Macaca mulatta: one gene and its partner. The protein of the gene in region 1 purifies or fractionates together with the protein of each later gene. This does not show direct contact. Links are inferred from orthologs where the notes say so. Each region holds a gene or a part of one and is shown in the gene's direction. Other genes may lie near its edges.

The links.
Region 2: the proteins of MOS (region 1) and FKBP5 purify together in Homo sapiens (affinity purification with mass spectrometry; 3 studies listed by BioGRID and IntAct, counting the BioPlex papers as one, with this or other methods). This does not show direct contact. The link is inferred for Macaca mulatta from reciprocal best matches to the Homo sapiens genes MOS and FKBP5.

What each region holds. Positions count from the first base shown.
Region 1 is NC_133413.1:66,758,958-66,762,152, reverse strand, and holds MOS (proto-oncogene serine/threonine-protein kinase mos), read left to right. Parts: upstream 1-1,350; coding exon 1,351-2,391; downstream 2,392-3,195.
Region 2 is NC_133409.1:146,649,381-146,653,204, forward strand, and holds part of FKBP5 (peptidyl-prolyl cis-trans isomerase FKBP5), read left to right. Parts: intron 1-2,389; coding exon 2,390-2,532; intron 2,533-3,452; coding exon 3,453-3,567; intron 3,568-3,824. UniProt on the Homo sapiens protein: Immunophilin protein with PPIase and co-chaperone activities. Component of unligated steroid receptors heterocomplexes through interaction with heat-shock protein 90 (HSP90).

The sequences.
Region 1 (3,195 bases):
CAAAGATATGGTATGAAAAATAATTTTTTGCTTAGAGTCAGAGTCTTGCTCTATCATCCAGCCGGGTGTGCAGTGGCACGATCATAGCTCACTGCAGCTTCAAACTCCTCAGTTCAAGTCTCCTCCCGCCCCAGCCTCCAAAGTAGCTAGGACTACAGGAGTGCGCCACCACACTCAGCTAACTTTATTATTATTTTTTGTAGAGGCAGGTCTCAAATTCTTGGCCTCAAGTGGTCCTTCCACCTCAGCCTCCTAAAGCACTGGGATTATAGGCATGACTCACTGCACTTGGTAGAAAATTAATTTTCATTATAAAAATCAGAAAGGAAGAACTTGTTGTTTGATGGCCAATACCCTGAATTTCATTCCAACTTCTGGTTTTCTACATTATATGTAGGTACTAGTGATTTTGTGCCATTTTTATTTCTTCAGATTTTTCCTCTTCTACAATTCTCCCATATGTGTTATTATTTGAAGCCCTGATCACAGCTCTGAATCATTCTGTTCTTTTTTCTCCTCCAACTCTGATTCAAAACTTCTGTAACTCGTTCACTGCAAAGCCTAGAATCTCTCTTGCAAGTGAGCTGACCGGGTGGGCCAAATCGCCTTGAAAGGGAAGGATTGTTACAAAGTCAGTATGTTGCTAAGACGTCTTGCTAATTTGCTGTGTAAGTTGCATAGACTGTCAGGGGATTCTCCTTTCCACTGATGAATTTAGGTGTGTGTTATGACCTGTATCAGTGATTCTATTTGGATTCATTAACGTTGCAATTTTTTATCCATATGAATGCTGCACCTAGTTTTTCCCTGTAATTGATTAAACAAATGTCTGCTGTTTGCATTTCAACTCTCAGCCAATAACTGCTGGAAGTGATTTAATGCAGCTGGAGAATGACACTAACAATCATTATAGCCTGCAAAGTGTGAAACAATTTCATTGTGCTTTGTGGTCTCTTTAGTCTGAGGACTGATAATGTGCAGCGGATGTGACTTGAAAAAAAGTATTTCATTATAGTTAAACAAATAATGTAAAAGAGGGGTGAGTTCTGGGGCAGCTCCATGCTGTTTATCTGGCATGAGCTTGTTTTTATAAGAATTCACTTCAAGTGTGGAAGGGAAATGCTTTCATCTGAAAGGGACTGCTGTGCTTCATTCCGGTTTCTCCCTCCATCTGATAAAAACTCTTGCTGAGTGACAGCACAGATGTAGCTCATTTGAAACAAATGAAGGAAAAGGAGAAAAGGGATAGGGGTGGAGCCAAGGAGTAGTCAGTCATGTTTCCAAAGTCCCGCGGTTTCCCCTGGTCTTTTCATTCACCCCAGCGGCCCTGGTGTCCCCCTGCAAAGTGCGATGCCCTCGCCCCTGGCCCTACGCCCCTACCTCCCCAGCGAGTTTTCCCCGTCGGTGGACGCCCGGCCCTGCAGCAGTCCCTCAGAGCTCCCTGCGAAGCTGCTTCTGGGGGCCACTCCTCCTCGGGCCCCGCGGCTGCCGCGCCGGCTGGCTTGGTGCTCCATTGACTGGGAGCAGGTGTGCTTGCTGCAGAGGCTGGGAGCCGGAGGGTTTGGCTCGGTGTACAAGGCGACTTACCACGGTGTTCCTGTGGCCATAAAGCAAGTGAACAAGTGCACTAAGAACCGACTAGCATCTCGGCGGAGTTTCTGGGCTGAGCTCAACGTAGCAAGGCTGCGCCACGATAACATCGTGCGCGTGGTGGCTGCCAGCACGCGCACGCCCGCGGGGTCCAACAGCCTAGGGACCATCATCATGGAGTTCGGTGGCAACGTCACTTTACACCAAGTCATCTACGGCGCCGCCGGCCACCCTGAGGGGGACGCGGGGGAGCCTCACTGCAGCACTGGAGGACCGTTAACTTTGGGAAAGTGTCTCAAGTACTCCCTAGATGTTGTGAACGGCCTGCTCTTCCTCCACTCGCAAAGCATTGTGCACTTGGACCTGAAGCCCGCGAACATCTTGATCAGTGAGCAGGATGTCTGTAAAATTAGTGACTTCGGTTGCTCTGAGAAGTTGGAAGATCTGCTGTGCTTCCAGACACCCCTTTACCCCCTTGGAGGCACATACACCCACCGCGCCCCGGAACTCCTGAAAGGAGAGGGAGTGACGCCCAAAGCCGACATTTATTCCTTTGCCATCACTCTCTGGCAAATGACTACCAAGCAGGCGCCCTATTCGGGGGAGCGGCAGCACATACTGTACGCAGTGGTGGCCTACGACCTGCGCCCGTCCCTCTCCGCTGCCGTCTTCCAGGACTCGCTCCCCGGGCAGCGCCTTGGGGACGTCATCCGGCGCTGCTGGAGACCCAGCGCGGCGCAGAGGCCGAGCGCGCGGCTGCTTTTGGTGGATCTCACCTCTTTGAAAGCTGAATTCGGCTGACTGAAAACCTGCGTCAAGATAAGCTTGTGTCTGTTTCTGTTTGTTTTTAAAGGAAGTGGAGATGTCGAAGAAAACATATTTGTGGGATGGAGTTTTAGAAAATAAAGTTACTAAAAACTCCTTTAGTCTCCAATGCTTTTTCTACGACACATAGCAAAGCCACAAATCTAGTACCTGTTGTCTCAGTACTGTTAGTAACTAATCTTATTCAGATAAGATTAGTGCTTGTGCTTTGCCCTCCATTGATAGTATTTCATTTATTCAAATTTGTTACTGATAAAACACTTTGTCCAAAACAGAACTCCACTGCAGAAATGTCAAAATTTTCTATAAATCCATATATATCCCATACCTACCACATAAATTCCAACTATTAACAGTGTACTTGCTCCCACACCAAATCAGTAAAAACTTTTTAAAAAATAAGTAATGCTTTCCTACTACTCCCCCCAGTAAAACTTCTTGTTTGTAATGACCTTCACACATAAAAGTCATACACTGAGGTACATTTACAGTCAAAGGAATTATAACTGACTTATTGTAATATTTTTAACTTGTGCAATGCAATGAGTAGAGACATTTTACTAAAACACTTCTAAACTGGGTCATTTTTACCTGGTACTGGGACTCAGAAGTAGAAGATAAAGATTATATGATGTGAGGGGAAAATGAAAACCCTGAGGAATCATGAAATTTAACATTTGGATGGAAGAGAACAGACAAATAGAACTAGACTGCCCACTCTAGACATCAAAACAATGGGTGTTGGTACATAGGTTTTAAAGGAGAAGGTGATTGGATTTT
Region 2 (3,824 bases), on another chromosome or scaffold:
AAAAGGTACAGCACACAGTAGGATACCAAAGAAACAAAACAGTGACTTATAAGGAACAAATGGATGGCCTTTCTGCTTTGACTTTCCATCTCTTTCATGGGTGTTTTAATAATAGGCATGTATTACTTGAATAATTTTTTTTTTTTTTTTGTAAGAGACAGGGTCTCGCTGTGTCACCTAGGCTGGAGTGCAGTGACATAATCATTGCTCACTGTAGCCTCTTACTCGTGGGCTCAAGCTATTCTCCTGTCTTAACCTCCAAAGTATCTGGAACTACAAGCATGTGCCACCATGCTGCACTAATTTTTTAAATTTTTGTAGAGAAGGAGTTTCACTGTGTTGCCCTGGCCGGTCTTAAAACTCTTGGGCTCAAGTGGATGCTCCCACTTGGCCTCCCAAAATGCTGAGATTACAGGTATGAGCCACTGTTCCTGGCCACTTAACATATATTTTTAACTGAAATAAATGTAGCTTACATTTGGAAAAGTTGTAATATTTAATGAAGATTAAGCTAAAATCATGAATGACAAATGGTTTATCCATCCCTGCTTACATACGGTTATGTAGGGTTTCACTTGTCCTAATATCCTACCACCAGCTCACTTCAAATTCACTTCCTCTGGGGTTCATCTCTTATCTGATCCCACTTTGAATACTTACATTTTTGTTTTTGTTTTTTGAGACAGGACAGGGTCTCACTCTGCTGCCCAGGCTGGAGTGCAGTGGCATGATCTCAGCTCACTGAAACCTCGACCTCCTGGGCTCAAGCAATCCTCCCTCTTCAGCCTCCTGAGTAGCTGGCAAGCACCACCACGCCTGGCTCATTTTTTCAATATTTTTTTGTGGAGATGGGGTTTCACCATGTTGCCTGGGCTGGTCTCAAACTCCTGAGCTCAAGAGATCTGCCCACCTTGGCCTCCCAAAGTGCTGGGATTACAGGCGTGAGCCAACGTGCCCAACCCCCAGATACTTAATGTTTTTGATTAACAAAGTACCTCATTTGTAATGTAGCCTTTTTTTTTTTTTTTTTTTTTTTTTTGGGACAGTGTCTTGCCGTGTTGCCCAGGCTGGAGTGCAGTGGCATGATCTCTACTCACTGCAACCTCTGCCTTCCAGGTTCAAGTGATTCTCCTCCCTCAGCCTCCCAAGTAGTTGGGATTACAGGCACATACCACCATGCCTGGCTAATTTTTGTATTTTTAGTAGAGACGGGGTTTCACCATGTTGGCCAGGCTGGTCTTGAACTCCTGGCCTCAAGTGATCCACCCGCCTTGGCCTCCTAAAGTGCCAGGATTACAGGCGTGAGCCACTATGCCCCACCAAAATGTAATTAGCCTTTTAAATTGCCTGAATTTTCTATTGTTTCCCAAAGGACTTGATACTGCTTACAGTAAGATAATGATGCACATCATAGGAACTGTAAACATTGAGATTACAATTATATAGCCTAATATAGTCCTACAATTGAGCAGTAAATTTAACTTAGTTTCCTGGAAGTAGGCAAAAAATAAAACATTTTAAGTTCTGTAGTTGTGGTTTGACAAAAAGACACATACGTTTTTGTTTAAAGAAACCTTTTTCTGATTCTAAATTTCGAGAAGAAATGTGTTTCATAGACCCTTTTATGCAATTTATATTGTTCTGGTTACTTCTTGTTTTGTTTTGTTTTGTTTTTGTCTACCCAACTAAATTACAAGCTTCCTTAGGACAAACTCTATTTTTCAATACTATTTTTGTTCTATCTTTGCCTAGAAAATGTGTGCTTATTATAGTTGAAATGATAAATTAAGCAACAGTTGCAACACAGCCATATTTCATGGATAATGTTACCACCAGTTTTCAAAGACTTAATTTTTGAGTAGTTTAGGAATTTATACTACTTTCATCCCTTTCAGCAGGGAATCCTTTTTGAGACAGGTCTCACTGTCACCCAGCCTAGAGTGCAGTGGCATAATCTTGACTCACTGAAGCCTCAACCTCCTGGGCTCCCGGGCTTAAGCAGTCCTCCCACCACAGCCTCTGGAGTAGCTGGGACTATAGGTGTGCACCACTATACCCAGCTGTGTTCCTTGGGGGTTTTTTTTGTTGTTTTTTTTTAAGAGATGAGGTCTTGCTATGTTGCCCAGGCTGGTCTCAAACTCCTGGACTCAAGCGATCCTCCCACATCAGCCTCCCAAAGTGCTGGGCCGATCAACAGGGAATCTTTTATGATAGCCTTGAAATAAATAAATATTTATTTATTTGTATGTAGCACTCGGTCATCTTGTAGCCCATACTTTCTAGCTGAATATGTAGTATGAAAAACTGGAAATTTGAACTTTTGTTTAATGAAAGTTAAATATTTTTAAATAGGGCTGATAGCTTTCAACTACCTTTTCCTTTCTCTTAGGCCAAGTTATCAAGGCATGGGACATTGGGGTGGCTACCATGAAGAAAGGAGAGATATGCCATTTACTGTGCAAACCAGAATATGCATATGGCTCAGCTGGCAGTCTCCCTAAAATTCCCTCGAATGCAACTCTCTTTTTTGAGGCAAGTATGTGTGTGATGTTGCCTTGTCAGCATCTGCTCTACAATAGGAATGGCTTTGAAGCAACAGGCAGTGGGAAAAGGAGCTATAGAGAATCACATCCAACTTACTTATTTTGGAGCATGGCTTCTTGGATTGTTTCCCACAAACCCAAGGGTGCACGTGCCAGTGCTTTTTGAGAAACGTATTTCCACCACAAAAAGGTCATATCCAAATACGCAAAAGACACTACACTTAGAAATAAAGAATCTGGTCCATGGTGTGAGTGTGACATACTCAAAATTGACCAGAATGCAGGATGGAAATGTTGGCAATAAATGTTGAAATATGCCTATGTCAAGTTGCAGGGTATTTTCATATTATAAAGGTTTATATGTCACAGATCTCACTTCTCTAGAAGTGTTTGATGGTGATAAAACATTATTCAACCTGTGTTGAAATTACATATATTTGGCAAAACTTGATTTTTAAGAACTACCCCAGCTAGGTAAAATATACCTTTAATCAGTCATAGGCCACATTCATGAAATTTATGTTTACATTTTGAGAAGGGAACTCCATAAATCCAGGGTGGGAAAGTTGTGGCCTCAGACAAACTGTTCTACACCAGCACCTTGTAAAGCTCTGGGTTTTTGCCCACAGGGTAGTGTTCCTAGTATTTCCTGTCTCTGCACCGCAGTCCCTTAGGATATAGTCCTAGACATTATCATTATGTGAAATTCTTTCCAAGTATGGAAAAGTATAGTGGGTTTTTTTTTTTTTTTTTTTGCTACTTTTCCAATAATTAAGATGCATAAATGAATGTATACATTTTGAAACAGCTTTATTTTGTAAAATGAAATAATTGGTTGCCCTTGCCTTCACATATGTTAAATTGGCTTTATTTGGTCTTTTCTCATCTGAATTCCTTTTTTCTTTCTAGATTGAGCTCCTTGATTTCAAAGGAGAGGACTTATTTGAAGATGGAGGCATTATCCGGAGAACCAAACGGAAAGGAGAGGGATATTCAAATCCAAACGAAGGAGCAACAGTAGAAAGTAAGTATTAAAGTAAGAGGGAACTAGTCCTTAAAAGTTGGACCATTTATGTGGACGAAATGGAGACTTAAAAAAAATATGTTTATGGAAATGAACATATCGGCTGGGCGTGGTGACTCACGCCTTTAATCCCAGCACTTTGGGAGGTGGAGGCGGGCGGATTGCCTGAGCTCAGGAGTTTGAGACCAGCCTGGCCAGCATGGCGAAACCCCATCTCTACTAAAAATACAAAAAACTAGCCAGACGTGGTGGTGCAT